4 linked regions of the Rattus norvegicus genome follow. The protein of the gene in region 1 interacts with the protein of each later gene in a biochemical or structural test. Links are inferred from orthologs where the notes say so. Each region holds a gene or a part of one and is shown in the gene's direction. Other genes may lie near its edges.

What was found.
Region 2: of the proteins of Setd7 (region 1) and E2f1, one has a biochemical effect on the other in vitro, tested with the Homo sapiens proteins (3 studies listed by BioGRID). The link is inferred for Rattus norvegicus from reciprocal best matches to the Homo sapiens genes SETD7 and E2F1.
Region 3: of the proteins of Setd7 (region 1) and Rela, one has a biochemical effect on the other in vitro, tested with the Homo sapiens proteins (3 studies listed by BioGRID and IntAct, with this or other methods). The link is inferred for Rattus norvegicus from reciprocal best matches to the Homo sapiens genes SETD7 and RELA.
Region 4: of the proteins of Setd7 (region 1) and Dnmt1, one has a biochemical effect on the other in vitro, tested with the Homo sapiens proteins (2 studies listed by BioGRID and IntAct, with this or other methods). The link is inferred for Rattus norvegicus from reciprocal best matches to the Homo sapiens genes SETD7 and DNMT1.

Annotation. Positions count from the first base shown.
Region 1 is NC_086020.1:137,753,065-137,758,667, reverse strand, and holds the start of Setd7 (histone-lysine N-methyltransferase SETD7), read left to right. Parts: upstream 1-2,348; 5' UTR 2,349-2,444; coding exon 2,445-2,484; intron 2,485-5,603. UniProt on the Homo sapiens protein: Histone methyltransferase that specifically monomethylates 'Lys-4' of histone H3. H3 'Lys-4' methylation represents a specific tag for epigenetic transcriptional activation.
Region 2 is NC_086021.1:163,532,004-163,537,763, reverse strand, and holds the start of E2f1 (transcription factor E2F1), read left to right. Parts: upstream 1-2,200; 5' UTR 2,201-2,353; coding exon 2,354-2,608; intron 2,609-5,760. UniProt on the Homo sapiens protein: Transcription activator that binds DNA cooperatively with DP proteins through the E2 recognition site, 5'-TTTC[CG]CGC-3' found in the promoter region of a number of genes whose products are involved in cell cycle regulation or in DNA replication.
Region 3 is NC_086019.1:212,352,465-212,358,140, forward strand, and holds the start of Rela (transcription factor p65), read left to right. Parts: upstream 1-1,871; 5' UTR 1,872-1,932; coding exon 1,933-1,939; intron 1,940-2,525; coding exon 2,526-2,552; intron 2,553-2,643; coding exon 2,644-2,795; intron 2,796-2,950; coding exon 2,951-3,099; intron 3,100-3,971; coding exon 3,972-4,063; intron 4,064-4,389; coding exon 4,390-4,521; intron 4,522-5,227; coding exon 5,228-5,332; intron 5,333-5,514; coding exon 5,515-5,676. UniProt on the Homo sapiens protein: NF-kappa-B is a pleiotropic transcription factor present in almost all cell types and is the endpoint of a series of signal transduction events that are initiated by a vast array of stimuli related to many biological processes such as inflammation, immunity, differentiation, cell growth, tumorigenesis and apoptosis.
Region 4 is NC_086026.1:27,759,531-27,765,234, reverse strand, and holds the start of Dnmt1 (DNA (cytosine-5)-methyltransferase 1), read left to right. Parts: upstream 1-2,473; coding exon 2,474-2,553; intron 2,554-5,704. UniProt on the Homo sapiens protein: Methylates CpG residues. Preferentially methylates hemimethylated DNA. Associates with DNA replication sites in S phase maintaining the methylation pattern in the newly synthesized strand, that is essential for epigenetic inheritance.

The DNA of each region.
Region 1 (5,603 bases):
CACACACACAAACACACGCACGCGCACACACACATACATGCCCACATGCACACATATACACATACACATGCACACACATACACACAAATACACACACATACACACACACAAATAAAATCTTTTTTAAAAAAGATTAAAATTTAAATTATAATCTGAAGGTATCCTTTCACATTTCCTCGCAGAAGTAGATTTTTGTGGAGCCTAAGGACCCAGGTATCTGCCCTGGAAAACCTTAAGGAGATCAACCCCAAGACAGACCTCAAAGGGGTCTAGAAGATTTCACAACAATGTAGCCTGGGTCAGAGTGTACAGTGGTGTAGTCTAGGCTAAAGGTACAAAGGGTAATCCAGCCTAAACCAGAGAAGTCTCTCCCCACGGGGCCTGACCATCTAATGCTCAGGAGAAGTCCATACTGCCAGAGTGGCATCCCTGGTGTGTTTGCAGGTGAGAGACTGGACCCTAAGCCTGCTAACTGAACATCCACAGTCTTCCTCTTTCTAAAGCAGAGTGGAGCTAAACTTTCTGATAATATTTGGGGCTAGTGTCTCTATAACTTTTCTCTTAAATGCTTTTTTTCCCCCTTCGAGTCAGGATTTCTCTACATAGCCCGGGCTGACCTGGAACTCACTCTGTAGACCAAACAGGCTAGCATTGAGCTCAGAGATCTGCCTTCCTCTGCCTCCCTAGTGCTGGGATTAACGTCACCACGCCGTTTCTTTTGCTCTTTTTTTTTCTATTTTTCTGACATATATATTAGCCAGTGGTGGTGCTGCTCAATTGGTAGAGAGCCTGCTTCCCTAGCACGGAAGAACCAGTCTTGTAAACTCAGCATGCTGGCCAATGTTTGTAATTGCCGAGCGAGCTGTGGCGATGGAGGCGAGATGGTTAGTTCTCCTAACCAAAATCATCCTCCTGTACTTAGTGAGTTAGAGGTTAGAGACCCGGGCTACAGGAGACCCTGCCTACAATACTTCACCCCACCAAAGGACATTTAAGAAAAGAAGGGGATGTTAGGGGTGGGGGTGCTGACTCTCCGAGGCCTTGGAAGTGCCTTGAAATCCTGCCTTATTCATTGTTCAGAAAACCAAACGGAATAACTTACTTACCCTCCTGCCCTACCCGCCACGATGACTGTTCTTGGCAGAAGGCCAGACCGACACCGGGTAATTCCATGGTACATTCTGTACATGTGTAGCCATTTAACCCGCTATTTAAAGTGGTCCTTTGCTGCCACCTGTAAGAGGTAGCACCATAATGACACTCGTTAAGTGGCTGGGCTGGGAAGGGGGTTTCTTCCCTCAAAGATGCCTGAGTCGGTGAAGTGGTTGGCACTTGGAGAAACTAAAGAGACATCTGGGGACATCACAAGTGTAGGACCGGAGGCGAGAGGAAGCGCGCTAGACACGGGGTCCTAGCTCAGGCTCTCCGCTTGGTGGCTCCTTCTCCAAGACAAGGAGAAGGAACCCGCCAAACCTCGGGTGCGGCCTGCTGCCATTTGGGTTTGGTAAATTCCTGGATCTCCCTAGGGACCTGGGAATGAGAAAGAAGGTGGAGACTGGGGACTCTGGTAGAAAATGCAGTCGGGCGGAATCCGGGGCGCAGGACGCCCCCTGGAATCTAGGAAACCGGCTTGTGGAGGGGACTCTGGGCAGTGGAGAGGGAGGGGGCACCTGCGCTCCTGTGCGCGTCGCACTTTGCAACTCTGGGCGGCGGCGAGCTGAGTGAAGTGGGCTCCAGGGCGCGAGGAAGTCGAAGCTCAGGAGCAGCAGAAAGGCTTGGTTCCGAGTGAGCTCTAGCTGTCCTGGAGTGGGATAGTGGGAGGAACACCCAGCACCGCTCACTTCCAAGTCCCCGGTGGCACATCGCGGGGTATCAGGCGCTCCGAGCCCCTCACCCACCCCAGGCGGGTACCCTGGCGGCCCGGGGTGCTAGCAAGCAGCCGGCGGCGACCTGGACCGCGTGGCTGGTGAACAGTGAACCAAGCCAAAAGGTAAATGCAGCCGGGCCGGCCCATAGCCTGGAAGAGGCGGCGCAGCACCGGAGCGTCTTCGGCTCTAAGGAGCCTCACTTCTGGGAAAGGACAGGGAACTGTCAATCAACGAGGGAGGGAGCGCACCGGCGCCGGGTGATGTCAGCGGATCAGCTGCTCCATAACAAAGAGGGGGTATCGCAGGAGAAAGTTGCAGCGGCAGCAGCACCCCGGAGCCTCGGGCACCGGAGACGAGGGGAGGGGGAGCGGCGGTTGCGGCTCCGCGGCTGGCGGAGGAATTAAAAGGACTGTAGGGGGAGGCAGTGCGAGCGGCCCCGACTGCTCCTCCTCTTCCTCCCCCTCCTCCCCCTCCAAACTCGAAGGGCTTAGCTCCTGCGTTCGCTCAGCCACCGCCAGCACCCGGAGGGACCGGAGCCGGACGCACGGCCCCGTGCTGGGTAGGGTCGCAGCTGCCATGGATAGCGACGACGAGGTAGTGGAGGAAGCCGTGGAAGGTACGGCAGGCTTTTCTCCAGGACCCTGGAGTGGGGACAGGCGCCTGGGCCGAAAGCACCAAGAGTGATGGTCTGCGACTCGGCGGGGCCGAGCCGAAGGCCACCGCGGTCCCTAAGCGGATGGCGGGTCGCTCGGCTCAGGCGGGGGCTGCACTGCCTACGCCACGCCGCCGGGAGCGCGCGGGGCGCGGTGGGGCACGGGCAGGGAATGGGGCCCCGCGGCCCTGGGAAGGCTGGGCCCCTGCATCCAGCCGGGCCACGGCAGCATCCTCCCTGGGAGTTGCAACGCTGCCTAGCACCTTGGCCTTAGTCCTTGCGGGGATGGAGGATGGGAGGGCGCCGGAGGGCAGTCCCTTGAGGCCCGCGATCTCCGCGGAGCAGCTGCGTTTCAACCACTTCGACTTCCCCTCTCCGACCGTCTGCCCTTTTCCTAGCTGAGTCGCTGCGTCCGGCGACCACTAGGGCGGAGTTTAGGTGGGTCTTCCATCGCATCGCACCCGGCCAGACACATGGTAGCCCCGGGCGCTCCTCCCGGAAAGAAAAAAAAAAAAAAAAAAGAAAAGAAAAGAAAAAAGATGAAATCATGGCTAGGTAGTGCACGCCGCTCCCCACCAGGCTCGAACGCTCTGCGTTCCGGAGGCGGCTGGCCCTGGTCTGCGCTGCCCCCGGGCGAACTCAGCCACCCACCCCTTCCCCCTCCCTGGCTTCTGAGCGAGGTGCAGCCGCGCCGTGCGGACGCTCCAGCCGGGACCCAAATTGCTGGGTGACACTTAACTTTCTGAATTCCGAGCTGTTGGCTGCTGGTGATATCACCGCCTGGGTGTCAGGTTTCTCCGCCCCTTCTTGCGCACCCCTCCCCCGACTCTTGTCGCCACCGTGTTTTGCTGAGTTTCTCTCTCTCTCTCTCTCTTTTTTTTTTTTTTTTTTTGCCCCCCACTTATAAAAGGCACCGTAGGGACGTTATACAATCTCGATGTTTGTGTCATGAGAGGTTATGATTTTATAACAATAGACACTGAAAAACATTCTTAAGCGTATTTATTATTTATCTTATTCTATCCCAGATAGTGTTCCCGTGATGTTTTGCGTAGTGTTGTTCCAGAATTTGTTAAACGCAGCATCTCAGTAAATAATTTTAAGTCCATGGTTAGTTCTCGTTTTAATGTATTTGTATAAAAAAGGCCTGACAAACGATAAATAAAAACGTGGCGGTGCTTAACAAATGCATATAGATATGTATTTGTTAATGGTACGTTGGGAGGAACCCCTTTTTGGTGTGTTCATAAATATAACTTTTTTTTTCTTTTTTCTTTTTTTTTCCGGAGCTGGGGACCGAACCCAGGGCCTTGCGCTTGCTAGGCAAGCGCTCTACCACTGAGCTAAATCCCCAGCCCCCATAAATATAACTTTTGCAGACTGCTGAAAGCTTAGGGTGAGATGAAGTAGAATCATTTTTTTGAATTCCCGAAAAGGCATTCATTCTAATTTAAGTTGTAAAATTTATCTTCATTTTAGTTTTTTTTTTAAAAAAAAAAACTTTAAACTACATAATTTTGCTTGTAACTTTTGAAGAGACTAAAATGTTGTGGACTCACAGAGCTTATATGTCTCTAAATAAACCCAGTGTTGGAATTAGTGAGGCCCAGCCAGCTTGAGGGAGCCATAGGAAGCCTTAACTTTCAAAGTTATTGACTTCTTGTAAATTTCTGTTATGACAGAAAACATGTTCTTAACAAATCGCCCTCCACTGTCTTGCTCATTCTTCTGGGTTTTTTTTTTTTTTTATAGTATTTGTTTAGGTTTGTTTGGGTCGTTGTTGCTGTTGTTGATTTTTTTACTTATTTATTTTACCTCATGTGAAATGCATATATGTCTGTGTGAGGGATCATATTCCCTGGACCTGGTGTTACAGATAGTTGTGAGCCACCATGTGGTTGCTGGGAATTGAACTCAGGACCTGGAACAGCAGCCAGGACTCTTAACCACTGAGCCATCTCTCCAGCCCCTCCTCCTGTTCTTTAACTTGCAAATTTTTTTGTTTTTTGTTTGTTTGTTTTGGTTCTTTTTTCGGAGCTGGGGACCGAACCCAGGGCCTTGCGCTTCCTAGGTAAGCGCTCTACCACTGAACTAAATCCCCAGCCTCTGTTTGTTTGTTTTTTAAAGATTTATTTAATATATGTAGTTGTCTTCAGACACACCAGAAGAGGGCATCAGATCTCATTACAGATGGTTTCGAGCTACCACGTGGTTGCTAGGATTTGAACTCAGGACCTCTGGAAAAGCAGTCAGTGCTCTTAACCACTGAGCCATCTCTTGCAATTTTTAAAAACAAACCTTTGATCACAGATAGTGCCCCCAACTGAAGCCATCTGTGTTTAGAAAACATGCCCTGTTGTTTATGACCCTAGCACTTGCATGTGAACAAAAACCAGACCTAGTGGCATACACCTGCAGGTGGAGGTGGAGGCAGGAGGATCAGGAGTTCAAGGCCATCCTCAGCTGTATAGCAAATTCAAACCCAGCCTGAACTATATGAGACCCTTTCTCAAAATAAAAATGTTTAAAGTATGTTTTCAGGTTTCATGTTAATCCAGTGGGTTCAAAACACCGAGGTTTCTTTACATAAATGGTGTGTGTGTGTGTGTGTGTGTGTGTGTGTGTGTGTGTGTGTGTAAGTAAATGGGGGTCTTTTTATATAGGATGGACAGATATAGCATTACTATAAATAAGAGTAAATAAGTAGGGTAACTTTCTTGTTTTGCTTTTAGTGAATTTTTGTTTTTGTGGATTTTTGAAACAAGATCTCAGTGGCCCAGGCTGGTTTTGATGTGATGTGCTGGGATTACAGATGTGAGCAACTGTACCTGGATTTTTAAAAGAACAACAACACAATTTTCTTCCTTCCCTCCTTCCTTTCTTCTTTCTTTCTTTCCCTGTGTATGTCGGGCAAACGATACACCATTCGGCTACATACTCCTGCAGAAGAGTAACAATATTGTAACATCCTGAGGAAAGCCAGGTATAGTGAAGCCTAGATGTAATCCCAGATACATAGGAGGCAGGGGAGACTGGGAGTTCTAACAGAGCTTAGACCTATAATAGGTGGATTTTGTCTCAAA
Region 2 (5,760 bases), on another chromosome or scaffold:
GGTTGCAGGTGTGTGCAACTATACCCAGCTGTAGGAATTGTAAATTTCGGCTCCACTCCACATTTTCATTGTAAAGGTATACCAATTTGTTTTCAAAGATGAACACATTATCTGGGATGGGCATAAGTGTTCCTTGTGTTTCTTTGTTTACATTTTTATTTATTTCTTCTTCTTTTTATTTTATTTATTTTATTTTTTTCGGAACTGGGGACCGAACCCAAGGTCCCCACTGAGCTAAATCCCCAACCCCTTCTTCTTCTTTTTAAAAAATATTTTATTTATTTAATGTATATGAGTACACTGCAGTTGTCTTCAGATACACCAGAATCCGTTACAGATGGTTGTGAGCCACCACGTGGTTGCTGGGATTTGAACTCAGGACCTCTGGAAGAGCAGTCAGTGCGCTTAACCACTGAGCCATCTCTCCAGCCCCTATTTATTTATTCTTGCTGTATCACAGTCCATGTCCTGGGACTTAATCTCTTCCAATCTTGACCAAAAGACTCTAAACCGGAACTGGGGATAGTGATCCAAACATGCAGTCTTAGCACTCAGGAGGCCATGCAGGAAGGTTACATTGATTCAGTTTGAGCTACTACATAGCAAGATTCTATTATCTTAAAAAAAAAAAAAGGTGTGTGTGTGTGAATAAACCAAGCATAATGGCTAACTCGTTCAATCCCAGACTTGGGAGGCAGAAGCAGGCATACTTAAGCGTGTTCCAGGACAGCCAGAGCCAGACAATGAGACCATGCCTCGAAAAAACAAAGAAACAAACTACCCCCCCCAAAAAAAACAAAAAAAAAGGGGGGCGGGGGCGGCCTGGGATTGATTCTAAATTGACCAAGGTTGGGTGGTTCAAAGTTAACCGATGCGTGGAAGATAAAGTAGTATGAGGTGATAGTGAAAGTACCCGGGCTTGAGAGCTCCTTGTAGCCTACACTGGACTTGGGGACTTGAATATTGTCAGCTACTCTTTTCTTTTTTTTTTTTTTTTTGGTTTTTTTTTTTTTTTTTTTTTTTTTCCGGAGCTGGGGACCGAACCCAGGGCCTTGAGCTTCCTAGGTAAGGGCTCTACCACTGAGCTAAATCCCCAGCCCCTGTCAGCTACTCTTCTTGTGGTCATCCCCACCCGCAAGGGCAGGAAGTATGTAGGTCTTGTTAAACCTTTCGTGTTTCGATTCCCAGTATTGGCAAGATGCCTGTCAGAGAGGACCACAATGCTGATCAGATGGGCTGACCTGAGCAATCAGAAATGCTGATGGAGGACCTCAGGATTAAAGGATCCCTCCATATGCACCCTCCCCACCCCTGCACCGCCCTCTGTGAGGCCTAACGTGGAGTTACTTAGTTCAATCTCTTCACATTGTAAGCATCTGCTGCCTCTCGGTTCCCTTTTTTCCTTTTCACTAAGTCAGGAGTCAAGGTCTGGGTTGAGTATGGGACAATAAACAGGCTCTCAGGCGTTTGTGATTTTTTTGAGACAGGGTCTCACTGTGTAGTCCTGAATGGCCTGAACTTGGAAAATCCGCCCGCCTCTGCCTCCCAAGTGCTGGGATTAAAGACAGGTGCCATTGTGGACTGACCAAACGAATGAACGATAACTGGGCGTTGGCTACTAAAGGAATTTCAGTAAAATGAGACTGAGATCAAAGCCACACATCCCTACTCATTTCCTGGCACCCCTCTTGGGCTTGGCTTCTGGGTGACAGGGAAGAACCCATGATGTGAACTAATGGAATAAGTGGGTCTTAAGACCGGAGATGTGGCTGAAGTGAACTTTGGAGGTGAGCCTGAGCGTGCAGAAGAAGCAGTTTCTGGACTGTAAACTGAGGGGGTGGAGACCACAGGTTGAGAGTTTAGGGGCTCATGCGGCATGTGGAGACTGCGGGACGTGCAGAACCAAGTACGAAGTTTGTTGCCTTCGCCAGACCCCGCCACCCATCGAGTGGGCGGTGAAGGGGGCGGGGTCCATTGCCCACGCCCCCTGCAGGGCACAGCGAGAGGCAGAAGGGAGAAGGCGCCCGGCACCGCCCGGACAAAGCCTGCGCGCGCCCCGCCCCGCGATTGGCCACCCCGCCCCTGGTCCCACCCTCCGTCGCCTGCCCCGCACGCTGCAACCAATGTCTGCTACCGAAGCCGACTTCGTCACAGCCACGCAGGCCAATGGAGGAGGCGTTCGGCGGCGCGTGGCTCTTTCGCGGCAAAAAGGATTTGGCGCGTAAAAGTGGCCCGGACTTTGCAGGCAGCGGCGGCCGGGGCGGAGCGGGATCGAGCCCTCGCCGCGGCCTGCCGTCATGGGCCCGCGCCGCCGCCGCCGCCTGCCTCCCGGGCCACGCGGGCCGTGAGTGCCATGGCCGTAGCCCCCGCGGGCGGCCAGCACGCGCCGGCGCTGGAGGCCCTGCTCGGGGCGGGCGCGCTGCGGCTGCTCGACTCCTCGCAGATCGTCATCATCTCCACCGCGCCCGATGTCGGCGCCCCGCAGGTCCCCACCGGCCCCGCCGCGCCGCCCGCTGGCCCTCGAGATCCTGACGTGCTGCTCTTCGCAACGCCGCAGGCGCCCCGACCCGCGCCTAGTGCACCGCGCCCGGCTCTCGGCCGCCCGCCGGTACGGACCCTAGGCGCGGGCGGGGGAGGGGCGGGCTGCAGCGCTGGGCGGTGCGGAGTCTGGGCTGGGCCTCGGGGCTCCGCCCCGGGGCGCGCGCTGACTGACTGCCTTGCCCTGTCTGTTTGCTGCGCCTTGCTCTGGGCCTCAGCGTCTTCACCAGAGCGGCAGGTTTATTAATGATAATGGCTCACGTGTATTCAGCTGGTGCTTGCTTATTGCACGCCCAGGCTTTGGCACACTTGAAGTCGGCCAAAATTCTCAACTCTGTTGTGAGCTGGGTGTTGTCACGTGCCCATCTGCCAGAGGGAGGAACTGAGGCCCAGAGACAGGGAAGTGCTTCACGCAGCTGCAGATGGTGGGGCTGGTATTTGAACTGATGGCGGCTGGCTTGCTGCAGAACCTATGGCTAGTTAGTGCGCACAGTTGCTTGATGGAGATGAAAGAGGGTGACTGTTGGAGACATCCTCGAGAGACCCTCCTTCGTGGCTCTGCCAGGTGCAGGCCTGGCCTTCCAGGCCTCTGGGGATAGGCCTCTTGATTGGGAGGCCTTCTCTGCAGGGGCGGGGTGCTGGGCCAGCTGCTGCAACCCTTCCTCTGCCTGTCCTTCCATCTGCCACCCTTCCAGCCCCTGGTTGCCATGGAACTTTATTAATCAGGCGGACAGACCCCTGAGACTCTGGAAGACTGGGTGGGCTGGGCCCCTGAGAAGGGGCCTCCAGTTCCTGGAGAGAGAAGACGTGGGAGGGAGATCCCTGGATAAAGTCTTTTCCTGATCCTAAGTAGCAAGACCAGTTTAGGCTGGGGGCCTAGAAAAGGCAGCGGAAGTGGAGAGTGGAACTTGGATCTAAGCAGGGGCCAGCTCAGCCAGTGGGCCACCAACTTTATTGTAGGGGTGGAGCAAGCAGGAGGTGTTCACAGCAGGGGGCTTGGAGCAAGCGGGAGGGGCCAGACCCAATACCGGAGTAGAAACTGTTCAACTCCTGGTGGGGGTGCGGGTGGCAGCTGGTCCCAGAGGCATCTTAGAGAAGGCCCATACCCCCTTTGGCCCAGTGCCCAGTGCTGCCTTCCTTCCGGAATCACCAAGATGCTAATAACAATAACAATAGCAACCACCATTGTTTTGAGGACGTTTTGGGTGCCAGGCTCTGTGCTAAGCACTTTACCCACTTAACCCTGTGGACAGCCTTACTTTTTCATCCTTCCATAGATGAGGAGGCTGAAGCCCACAAATGATGGAACTTCTTAATCATTCTTCTAGGGAGTGGTATTTCCTGATTGTTAAAGCCCTTTCCTCCCACTGAGGAGGCCGGCCAGTATTTGGTGGGTCAGCTGGCTTGCCTTCCCTCCACTCCACGGGCCTGTACCAGTAGGTAGAAGGTTGGGCCCTGGGCAGATATTCTACATTTGACTAAACATTGCATTCACTCAAGTTGTGGAGTTCGTGAGTCCCCATTATGTGCTAGGTGCAGAGGTACTTAAGGATCCCCTTCCCCCACGGTACTTAAGGCCCAGCAAACATTTTCTGTGGGAGAGGTTGACACCATCCTGGAGCCAAAGGCCAGGAATGCAAATCTGGATTTTGGCCTCTACTGACTTTGCTCTGGAATTTGGGGTGGGGGGGCAGTCCTTGAAATAAGCTACAGGCTTGGCTTCCACCCAGTGAGCACTTGCTGGGTGCTTCCTGTGTACCTCTCTACACCTCTGCAATTCAGACATTCTTCCTGCCCTACCTACCTTTACCTTGTCTGTGTGTGTGTGTGTGTGTGTGTGTGTGTGTGTGTGTGTGTTTATAGATCCTATCGGGGTGTATTGACTAGGGAGAAGCAGAGACAGGAGAATCCACATGTTCAAGGCCAGCCAGGGTTACCTAGAGTGAAACTGTACCTTAAAGGAAGTTGGTCTGGAGAGATGGTTTAGCCATTGAAAGCACTTGCTATTCTATATGACAACTTAAGTTTGATCACAGCCCAACACTGAGGTCACAGATGACCAACTCCAGTTTCGAGGGGTTTGATATTGTCTTCTCCTGTCCTTGGGTACCCATGTTCATATATAGTCATACGGACACAAAGTTCTTTTTAAAAAGAAAACAATTTAAAAAGCAAATTAGTTAAATAAAAATAAATTAAAACACCAACAGCCTATTTTGGTTAACTGACATCTTATAATCCAAGCAGGCAAGAATGAGGATACTGAGTCTTGAGTTCAAAGCCAGCCTGCACTACAAAGACCCTGTTTCAAAATGGTAACAGCAAGAAGCTGATGTTTCCATTATAATGTAGTACTTGTTTACTGTGGACAGTATGTAGTACCATACATTAAGTCTGTAAAAGACAGGCTTGGGGTTGGGGATTTAGCTCAGTGGTAGAGCGCTTGCCTAGCAAGCACAAGGCCCTGGGTTTGGTCCCCAGCTCCGGAAAAAAAAAAAAAAAAAAAAAAAAAGACAGGCTTAGAGTAGAAAGCTAGCTCTTCTTCAGGGCTCTTGGTTTAGGTGTGACACTGTTACTCTATTATATGAATCTCTTGCTGGTCACTGTGAGCACTTAACTGCTGTTGGGGATTGGACCCAGAATGGAATGCACACCAAATAAGTACTCTGCCAGTCCCCAGTCTTCAGAACTTTTGTTTTTAATAGTTCTAAAAGTTGCTGTGAGCCACGTGTGATGGCACCTTTATAATTCCAGCACTTAAGAAGTAGAGGTATAAGGATCAGGAGTTCAAGGTTTTCCTGTGCCTGATCCATGTTCAAACAGTACGTCATTCACATTGCCCAGAGGAGGTAACAGTCTGCCCTGGCTCTCCCACAGAAGCGCGCCTGTTTCTGAAACACACTCTGTCAGAAACTGAACTGGAGCAGCTCCTGAGCTTTTAGTCCAGGAAGGGACCATATATGTATTAGCCTGTCAGAGTGGTTTCCTTGTGTGTCTGTGAGAGCATTCTGTGCTGGCCTGGACCTGTCTGGGTCTGTTACTGAGACCACATGCTGTTCCAGGGGCTACATACAGCCTTTGTGGATGGGTGTTTGAAGCACTCAGTTATCAATATCTTCACCTGTGGTTTTTAGGATCTCAGTGTTGTCTAAAGATGAGTGACAGAAACACCATCAATCTGAGCCCTACTTTAAGGATGACATTGGAGATGGGCAAGGGCAT
Region 3 (5,676 bases), on another chromosome or scaffold:
TCACTGTGTAGTCTCTGCTGGTCCAGAGCTCTCCATGTAAACAAAGCTCTACTGTTTTGTTTTGTTTTTTTAATTTGTTTTGAGACAGTGTCTATACAGTCCTGGCTGTCTAGCAACTCACTATGTATAGACTATGCTGACCTCGAACTAGGAGAGCACTTGACTCTGCCTCCAGAGTGCTGGGGTTAAAGGTCTGCACTACCAAGCCCAACTCATATTTAGCTTTAATTATGTATGAGCACATGTGAATGCAGATGCTCTCAAGAGCCCAGAACAGGGGATGAGGTCTTCTGAAGCTGCAGTTACAGTCACTGGTAACTGGCCTCTCTCTACAAGAGCAGTATTGACTCTTAGCTGATGGGCCATCTCTCCAGCCTGTAGCCATCTTTTTTTTTTTTTTTTTTTTTTAAGAGCATCTTCTGTTGCTCTGGATGGGTTCAAATTATGTAGAGGAAGATGACCTTGAACTTCTGACCCCATGAGTACTGGGATGACTGGAACATCCTAGACCTAGGAATCAAACCCAGAGCTTCCTTCAATGTTAAGAACTTTCCTGAGTTGCCATCTCTAGCCCTTATTTTTCAGTAAGTACACTCATGTTCATATTAATTAAATTGCAACTATATGTCAGTTTTTAAAAGTGGTTCGTGCGAGGATCAATGATGGCTGTGTGCCATTAATCGGAGACCATAATTCATTCTGTCACCTTGATGTCCGCCCCCGCAAAACATTAAACTGCTTTTTCTAATCTGCGCCAAGTGAGAAACTGAAATGAGTGGGAGGGGCGGTAACTATTTTCACTTTTGTCTTCCTGTTTTTTTCAGAGCCTGGGAAAGAAGTCAGAATTTCCAATCTTTTCCAATTCCCACATGATTTCCTAATTTAGAGAAAATAAGTCTTTCTCCATGTGCTAAAGCCTCCTCTGCCCCCCACCCCGCCTCCTCCTTCTGGCATTGTGGAGGGAGCCTGATGTGTTGATTCCTCCAGCCAGTGTCCCCAGACTCAATCTGCACACCCGCCCTTGGCTTAGATGGCAATTTTCTCTCCCTACAAAAGCTTTCATCACTGGAGCTCAGGCTCCTGGGAGGCCTTCAAGGAGATGCTCAAGTGGTGTGACCCTGGCTAGCTCCGGAGATCCCTAGGGATCTGAACCTTAGCAGACAGGACCTATCTGTGGAGGCGAAGCCCTGGAGCTCTTCCAGCATTCATTGCTCTCAGGGACTCTTAGAGGTACAGGTGTCTACCTCGGTCCCCTCTACACCAAGGCCTCAGTCAAGCCTTGATGAAGCATGCTTTGGGAAGCACTCCTGCGCGCAGCCGGATCTAGGTTGGGAGCATATGGCCTGTAACGCGCGGCGGTCCCCAGAAGGCCCTGCACGAGTAGGAAAACGTGTGGAATTCAGTCACTGTGCTCCGCGGAAGCAGCAGGCCTGAGCCTCTCCTTGTGCAGGGCGAATGGCCGCAGCCTGCCAGCAGCCCGGGCTCTGCTCCAGACCAGGCCAGGGTGACATCACCAAACTCTTGAGATCAGAGCGGGGCGGGGAACGGGACCCGAAATCCCCTAAAAACAGAGTGAGTAATCGCGGGCCCGCCCTCCAGGCGGGGCCCGGACACGGAGCGAACCGCGCTGCGTAGTCCGGGAGCGGCTTGCAGTCGGGCGGGCCTCAGGACGAATAGCCTCGGCGTCCTACCGCCGCGCTCCGGTGTCCCCGCCCGCGCGCCGCACACCTTCCGCGCCCAGCGTGAGTTGCGCACCTGCTCTCGGCCCCCACGCGCGTCGGTGGCGGCGGCGCAGCGCGCAGGCGCGGCCGGATTCCGGGCAGTGACGCGACGACGGGCGCGCGCCGCGCATTTCCGCCTCTGGCGAATGGCTTCGCTTTAGCGCGCCGTGGGCTCAGCTGCGACCCCGGCCCCGCCCCCGGGACCCTGGCCATGGACGGTGAGGCTGCCCTCTGGCCCGCGGGACGGCTGCCCTAGAGTTCCGGGACCTGCGGCGGGATCCCCCTCGCGCCGTCTTCCGCCCCTTTCTGCGCCGCGGGTTGCTGCGCAGGGAGCGGCAGGCCGGATGGTGGCACGGGGCGGGGCGGGCTGCGAGGGGTCTGACTCAGTTGCCCCTCTCAGTGGAGGGCGCCTTGACTCAATGTCCCTCCTGGGTGGGAGTACGGGTGAATCTTGACTCAGTTTCCTCCGGCTTCCCCCCCCCACCCACTGTGTCGATGCGATTAGTTCTGGCTTCCTTTCCGTGTAAGGGAGAAAGTATCTGACTCAGTATCCCCCGAAAAGGAGAGGGGGTAGAACCCTTCCTCAGTGTCACTTATGAACGTAAAACAGGCTCTGACTCAGTTTCCCCGGGCAAAGGAATACCTCTGTGCCCCTTTTCTCTAGTAGAGAGATGCTTTTGCCTTCTTTACCTGGCCTCTTTCAGGGCAGGTCTTAGGATCTTGGCTCAGTTTCCTTTGGAGGCATTCCCTGGTGAGGGTGGGTACTGGAGTTTATTGACAGTGTGCCTTGTCTTTCCCTTTCAGATCTGTTTCCCCTCATCTTTCCCTCAGGTAAGTGGACCATCCTTCCTCAGTAGGTAGGGGCTGTCCTGGAGTAGGGGCCATGGGGGCAGCACCTAATGGCTGACCGTATCACCCACAGAGCCAGCCCAGGCTTCTGGGCCATATGTGGAGATCATTGAGCAGCCCAAGCAGCGGGGCATGCGTTTCCGTTACAAGTGCGAGGGCCGCTCTGCAGGCAGTATTCCTGGGGAGAGAAGCACAGATACCACTAAGACGCACCCCACCATCAAGGTAAGCAAGAGCCCCCAGGGGTGTCGGGGTGGGGACACAGATGTGGTGGAAGGCACTGTGGAGCCCCAGCAGACTTGCCTCCTTGCCACCGCGCCCCGTGTCTAGGAGCCAGATTTGGGATTGCTGGCCTCTAAAGTACTCTGTACTTTGGACAGATCAATGGCTACACGGGACCAGGAACAGTTCGAATCTCCCTGGTCACCAAAGACCCACCTCACCGGCCTCATCCACATGAACTTGTGGGGAAGGACTGCCGGGATGGCTTCTATGAGGCTGAACTCTGCCCAGACCGATGCATCCACAGGTGAGTCTGAATAGATAGGCTGGGGGTAGTGTGAGGTCAGGGTAGGTAGGGGGCAGGGTAAGAGCAGGCTGGGCCAGGCAGCTGTTACAAAGTTACACTTTTCTAAACACTGGCAGAATCCAGAGTCCTTGCTCTGTCCCCAGGTCTGCAAACAGACCCCCTTTGTCTTAAATTCGCTAACAGATGGGAACTCTTTATCTTGGAGCGACAGATCCTTTATGACTGGATAGCCCAGTCCCTTAGGCTCTTGTATCAGAAAGTCCGTAATGGACTCTCCTAGAGCTTAAATACCAGTTGGTAAAACCAGGGGACAGTTGTACAAACAGATAGAAAAGATACTAGTGGAGAATTATAATTTCCATGATGAAAAGAAAACACAGTAATAAATTAGAAGGAGGAGGAGGCTGGTCTCGTGGCATAGGGACAGAGTCTCATATAGCTGAAGCTGGCCTTGCACTCATGAGGGTTCACCTACCTCCTCTTCTCAACTCCAAGGGTAATAGGCGCGTAGCACCATGTCCTGTTACGTAGGTCTCATGACTTTGGGTTGGAAGATTGCAGAAGGCCTCTGTGCTAACACTCAAATGGTGAGAAAAAGCAGACAAGCCCAAAAGAACATTGCATGCACAAGAAAGAAGTATGGTGACCTGGAAAAGGGACTAAGTTTAGTGTGCTCAGGGACGGGACAGGAAGGCCCTGTGGCTGAGGCTAGGACACTGACTTGGGGGCTGGTGTGGGCCAGGTCCCTCAGAGACTCGCCAGTGGGTAAGGAGTGGGTTCATTGTAGCACAGTGGGAAGCCTTGAGCTGTGAGCTGAGGAGTGGGAAGAGGGTGTTCTTTTGGAGACACAGAACTAATGCCTGAGGCCTCAGCTTCCAGAACCTGGGGATCCAGTGTGTGAAGAAGCGAGACCTGGAGCAAGCCATTAGCCAGCGCATCCAGACCAACAATAACCCCTTTCAAGGTAGGAGCAAGGGGCAGGACATAGCCTGCCTGTGGTGCACATTCTGCCACCTTCCCTGGGCCTCTGGCGCTCCTCACCCTCCATGACCAACCCAACAGTACAAGTGGAACCTCGCTGCCAGCATGGTACACACTCACATGCTACCGTTGAGAGTCAGGCCTAGAAAGGGGTGGTGTATTCAGGTCCCAGTAGAGCCGTGATGGGTCTAGGATTTTGTCTTCCTCCCCTTAGACTTCTGTTTTATATATCCTCAAATCACCTTCCTCTTCCCTCAGAGCTCCCTGCCCTCCCCATGCCTTCCACCACTTTTTTTTTTTTTTTGACAGTTCCCATAGAGGAGCAGCGCGGGGACTATGACTTGAATGCGGTCCGCCTCTGCTTCCAGGTGACAGTGCGGGACCCATCAGGCAGGCCCCTCCGCCTGACCCCTGTCCTCTCGCATCCGATTTTTGATAACCGTAAGTGGCCAGCTGCAGTAAGGGGAGAGGGTGGGCTTGGGAAGAGAATGGGGCTGGGGTGGGTGTGGCCTTGCTGCAGGGGGCAGGGCAGAGAAGACCCAGAGCTGCCTCTGTGGGAAGCTTGCAGGATGCCCTGGAGTTGGATGGGAAGTGACTGTTTTCCATATCTTGTGTTGAGATGCTGGTGTGCCAAGAACTGTGCTCATGACTTTAGGAAACCAGATAAGGCTAGACAGCAGTAAATGAACATTAGTAGCTCACAGGAAGCTCTGATGACCTGGGCTGACACTGATGGATTGCAGTCTTTAGCAAGCAGCAGAGCAAATGAAAATAGAAGGGCTTTAAAATCCTAAGGACTGGAAACCAGTATGAACTGGAAGTGAGGAGCAGAGGGCTCATTGCCAAGGCAGGGATGAACCAAAAGCTGAAACTCTGAAGCTCAGGTGGAAGGAGACAGATGTGGCCAGTGTCTCCTCTGGACTGGAAGGTCTGTGAGGGACGGAAATGCAGCCTTCCGTGTCCCTCTTACCTAGAGCCGAGCTACAAGCACTGCAGGGAGACTGTGGTGAACTGGCTGACCTGAAGAGCAGACAGCAGAAGGTCTGCAGAAGTGTAGTCACAGGCTGTGGGCGACCTTGACACACGGCTGGGCTGGGCGTGACTGTTACGGCTCCTTCGGGGTACCCTGAGACCTCTGATGTTTCAGGTGCCCCCAACACTGCCGAGCTCAAGATCTGCCGAGTAAACCGGAACTCTGGGAGCTGCCTTGGTGGGGATGAGATCTTCTTGCTGTGTGACAAAGTGCAGAAAGGTACACGTTGGACTCTGTGCACCGAGAGGGGAGGGGAGAGGCTGAGCAGGGGTGATGAGTGCCAGCTACCTCAGTGACTTCAGGGGAAGCGGGAGATGTCACAGGGAAAAGCATCAGGTGCTGAGGACAACAGTCTGTCGGGGGTCACACATACTAACCCGTACTGCTGCTGTCTCCTGCAGAAGACATTGAGGTGTATTTCACGGGACCTGGCTGGGAGGCACGAGGCTCCTTTTCTCAAGCCGATGTGCACCGGCAAGTGGCCATTGTGTTCCGAACTCCCCCATACGCTGACCCTAGCCTGCAGGCTCCTGTGCGAGTGTCCATGCAGCTTCGGCGGCCTT
Region 4 (5,704 bases), on another chromosome or scaffold:
TCAGTGGTAGACGCTTACCTAGGAAGCGCAAGGCCCTGGGTTCGGTCCCCAGCTCCAAAAAAAAGAACCAAAAAAAAACAAAAAAAAACAAAAAACCAAAAAAACCAAAACCAACCAACCAAACAAAACCCATTTATTTGGGAGTGTATGCTGTTGTATTTGTGTTCTTTGGTATGCTGGACACAGAATCAGAAGAGGCAAGGGTCTTACCACTGAGCCACACACAGTCCTTTGTGCGATTTTAAATATCCCATCAATTGATCAAGTTGTGTATGCTATGGACTGTAGACTGTAAACCTACTTTTGCATTTTTTTTTTCTTTTTTTTTTCCGGAGCTGGGGACAGAACCCAGGGCCTTGTGCTTGCTAGGCAAGTGCTCTACCACTGAGCTAAATCCCCAACCCCCTACTTTTGCATCTTGATCCAGTTTGGGCCCCCCATCTTTCTTTGTAAAATGTAGTGACACTATGGTGAAACAAAAATATCTTTATTTTGGAAAAGCACTTTTATCACTGACCACAGCAGTGCCTTATCTAAGTATCGGGCACTTCTGGTGGTCTTTGTGCTGATTCGGCAGATAGCTGTAATTGGCCCACCATGCGTTTGCACTAATAAAGTTTTATTGGGACAGCTCTTTACTATGTGGTTCACAAAACCTTCAATATCCCCTTCTCTATGAAAGTTTGACCTCCACTCCAGTGAGATAGATGGTAAGAAAGAGTCTCTGGCCATGACTACCAAGAATGGCATCTGGTAGGAGTAACAGGTGGTTTCCATGTGGTCCGGGGGAGTTTTGGTGGAAGTGTTTGGGGCTGTACAAATCTTCCCAGAGAATGTTCTGTAGAAACAATGGAAGTCCTGGGGCACACAGGCTCGAGAGAAGTGGTCAGTGGAGCCGTGCTTGGTGGAGGATGTGTTCATCCAGATAGCGCTCGCTCTGCAGACGGAACAAGTGCTTGTCTGATTCCCCTTTATTATATGTATTTAAATCTGTTGTGGGAGGGCTCATAACACATGCTATGGTGCATGTGTGGAAGTCAGAACAGCTTGGATGGAGACCGTCCTCTCCCTCTGCCATGGAGTTCCAGGACATCAGGATAGGCTTGGCAGCACGTTTACCGATGGGGCTGTCCTGCCAGCCTGGATTCCACACTTCTCTCTCATCTCGGCAGCAGTTGCTAATAAAGCAGATGTCCCTGAAGTCTGGCTTAGAATATGGCTGGTGAGGGACTGGGGGGCAAAGCTTAGTATTACCATTCTCTAGCATGCATGGAGCCTCATTCCCAGGACCCTGTTCCTTGACTTGAGGCAACTCAACAGGGAATCTGCCTGTCTGTCATCTGTGCTCTTTGCTTCTTTCCAATGCGACTCACCGGTGGCAGGGCTAGGTTCTGGCTGGTTGATGGTTTCCCTCTGAGATGGCTGACTGCCCTGTTCCTGTCCTTCTATCTTTCCTGCTTTCCCCAGAGGTGTCCCTGTGGCCTGTGATAGGCTGAGGAGCATCTTGTCCAACCTGCAATCCAATTACCCATTATACACGAGGTGGCACTGCCGTAGAGATCTACATTTTGGGCCCTGGAACCTGTTCGTCTCCGTTTCTCTCTGGTATTTTCTTTCTCGTTGGTGCTGCTCACTCTTTGGGTCTCTTTCACAGACAAGCCCACCCTTGAAGCCCACCCTTTTGTTTTGAGACAGGGTTTCTCTGTATAGCCCTGGCTGTCCTAGAATTCACTGTATAGACTTGGCTAGCCTCAAATAGTGATCTGTCTGCCTCTGCCTCAGTGCAAGGGATTAAAGGCATGCGCCACTGCTGCCTGGGTTTTTTTTTTTTTTTTTTTTTTTTTGGTTCTTTTTTTTGGAGCTGGGGACCGAACCCAGGGCCTTGCGCTTCCTAGGTAAGCGCTCTACCACTGAGCTAAATCCCCAACCCTTTTTTTCTTTTTTAAAAAGACTGTTTTTAGACCAGGCTGAACACACAGATCCTCCCACTTCTGCCCCCAGAGTGCTGGGATTAAAAACATGGCGCCACAGACTCCACCACCTCTGCCCGACTCAAAAGATCACTTTTTTTAAAAAAAATTGTGTTTGTGCATGTGAGTGCGGTGCCCATAGAGACCAGAAGAGGGCGTAGGATCCCCTGGAAGTGGAACTACAAGGGCTTGGAGTGCCTGGATGTGGGTGCCCTGTGAAAGGGGAGTACTACCTGCTCTCAAGGGCTGATCCACCTCTTCAGGCAAGGGGGAGGTGAGTGGCTCCAGTCACAGTGCGGACGAGCCCACTCCAGCCAGGAGGTGTGGGTGCCTCCGTCCTGCGCATGCGCACTCCGTTCGGGCATAGCATTGTCTTCCCCCACTCTCTTGCCCTGTGTGGTACATGCTGCTTCCGCTTGCGCCGCCCCCTCCCAATTGGTTTCCGCGCGCGCGAAAAAGCCGGGGTCTCGTTCAGAGCTGTCCTGTCGTCTGCAACCTGCAAGATGCCAGCACGAACAGCTCCAGCCCGAGTGCCTGCACTTGCCTCCCCGGCAGGCTCGCTCCCCGACCATGTCCGCAGGCGGTAGGTACCACACAAAGTGGGGGCGAGGGGCGGGACCGATGCGGAGGCATTTATTGGGGTATCTCGGGGTGGCCCTGCGGCCGCTGACAGCCAGGGCGCGCATGCGCGGGGCAGCGTTTGGCGCGGGCTGTGCTTCCGGTCGCGCGCGCCTCTGGCTGTTGGCGCCAAAATGGGTGGGGGCCTGGTTGCTGGCAAGCCCATTGACTGGGAACTTGAGGGAGGAAGGGGATGGTCCCTTCTAGCCTTCTGGAATAGAACAAGCTTGGGGACACCTTCAGGGTTTCCCCTCTTCGGCCAGCCCGGCTCCTGGGTTGCAGGAAGTGCCCCTCTCAGGGCCTGTGGACACCCTGAAGCCCCCACCCCTCTCCAGCCTTCACTTCCGGTGCCCTGCAGATCCCGCCGCGCCCACCCGAGGGTTCCTCCGCTGGGACCCCGAAGGCCCTCGTGCAGAAGGGCTCTGCATTTCTCCGTTCGAGTCCCGCTGTCAAGTCCTAGGAGCTTTTTCTCTCATGGTGCGGTGCTGGGCCTGAGCAGCTTACAGCCCTCGTGGGTTTTTGTTTTGTTTTTATCCCAAAGGAGCTCCTGCGATCCTGGAGCTATCAGAGACTATGCCTGGAGAGAGGTGGTGCAGAGTGGGCCCTCCACTTTGGCAGTAACATAAACTGTCCCGAGATCCCAGAGCAATCGAGGAAACCTTTTAACACTGTCCAAAATGTGTATCAGAGGGAGGGAAAAATGGATGATAGTAAGATGTCTCCGCCCCCGCCCCGTTATTTTAACCCCTGTGAACCAGTTCCTTCGATTCTGCCGCCATCGAGGAAGCTTTTTACATTGTCTAGTGTTTATTCCGAGGAGTGAGATGGCAGATAAAACTCCCATTTCAGAACATATGAATTCCCCCACACTCCCGCCCGAGCAGTCAAGGAAGCTCTTCAACTTTCAATGTTGTGTCACTGGAAATGAGGGATCCTACCACTAGTACCTTCCATACCTCCACGGGGAGGTCTGTGTTCAGGGATTGGCGGGAACACCGGATCCTGCTTCCTGTTCCAGAAGGGCATCGTCCATCCGTTCAATCCTGAAAGCTTGTCCCACGTGTCACTGTGCGCTACTTAGTCATAGGTTCCCTGACTTTTGCTGCACATATTCCAACCCGATAATGAGTTTACTTTTGGTATTTCCATGGGTTAGTTTGGTGGGGTGTTGCCAGGCCGGTTGCCTTTTGAGGTTTAGGGGGATGAAGTGGGAGGAGAGCCTGAATTCCCCCTTGTCAAACACTCCCCACCCCCAGTTTGCCCCCGGGATTGGACCTGAAACTCTGTGAACGGTTTCTACCACTGAGCTATACATCTCCAGCCCTTTCACTTTTTCTTTTCTTGGAGATGGATTCTTGGTGAGTTTTCTCAGACTGGCCTAGAATTCCCCATCTCCCTGCCTGTGACTCCTCAGTGCTGGGGGTTACTGACATGTACCACCATGATGGTTTGGTTATTGAATGCTGGCTTTTTGATTATATAGACACAAACATTCACAGCCTTTGACACACCTCAACAGATTTTTTTACCTTTACAATTTACTACCAAAAAATACATACCTATTAAAGTATTTCGTTCTTTAAAGTTAGACAGTGCTGTAACCTGCCTTTCTGTCTTGTTTTTTTCCTGTTCTTTGGGGTGTGTGTGTGTGTGTGTGTGTGTGTGTGTGTGTGTGTGTGTTGTTTTCATTTCCAGGAAAGGATTCCTGTAGCCCAAGAAGGCTAGCCTTAGGCTGACTGTATAACCCAGGCTAGCCTTGATCTCTTGTATCTACTCAAGTGCTGGGATTACAGGAATATGACCCGGGTTAACTTTTGATTTAGAAAAACTTAGTTGCAAAGTATCTACAGTGTGAGATAGAGAGGTACTGACATTTGGTGGGATAGTCCAGAAGCTGACTTAGGCCTTGTTGCAGCTTCCGTCCACCCTGTTTTGTATTTAAATGGCAGTTTAAATAGAAATGTGCATAGTTCTGCTAGCTGTATAAAATACAGGATTTTTCAACATGTGGATTTTAAGTCTTAGTGTGTATGAGGGGAGGGTATGTGCTACAGCTTGAGTGGAGGTCAGGACCCCTTGCAGGAACTGACCTTTCCACAAGGTCCTGGTTATGGAACTCATGTCATCAGGCTTGGTAGCTTCCCCTCATCGGCTGAATTCTCTTGCCAGCCCCAGACTGACCGTTTCTTTGAAATACAGTAAACCCTGCATCTTTGAGGAATTCAAATCATGCTTTTTAGTGAGATGTGGCGGCCATGGCCTATAACCCCAGCCTTTGGGAGGCAGGAAGGTCGTGAGTTAGAATTCAACTAAGGCCTCATTTCAGACATTCACACCTTGCAGGTGAGGGATTTCTTTTCCTGAACAGGTGGCATCCTCTTCCCTAGGGAGGTTCCTTTGACACGGGTGTCTAACTTCTTTCCATTTTTTACAATTGAAACTTATTTTCAAGGCATGGTCTGGTCTCTATGTAGTTTGTCTGGTCTCGGTCTTGCTATTGTTCCTCTCAAGTGATGCGTGTTACGTGCCTGGCTGACTCATTTTTGTTAAACTTACATATAAATGGTGTGTGATACATATATACGTATATACACATATATACACATATATGTATACACACATGTATGCACTCTGGTATGTGTTAAGGGGAGACTTTTTAACTTTATGTGCATGTGTACCACAGCGTACGTGTGGCAGTTAGACGTTTTCATGGTGTTTGTTACACTTTCACCATGTGGATTTGGGGTCATACTGAGGTAGGTGGTCAAGGATGTGGGACACGTGCCCGTCTCCCCAAGCCATAGTTAACTACATTTATCTGTCTGCGTCTGCATGTGCATATTTAGCAGTGTATTATGGCGGTCAGAATACTTTTCCCGAGTCAGTTCTTGGGCAGTACTGGAGATGGAGCTCAGACCATCAGTCGTGGTAACAAGAAATGGAGCCATTTCATCTGACCCTATAAGTTTTATTTCATTTTGAGACAGGGTCTTACTATGTAGCCTCAGCTAGCCTGGAACTCTGGGGACCAGGCTGCCCTCGAACTCTGATATCCACCTGCCTTTGCCTCTTGGATACTAAGCTGCCACCATGGCCAGTTTAGAAAGCTGCTGCTG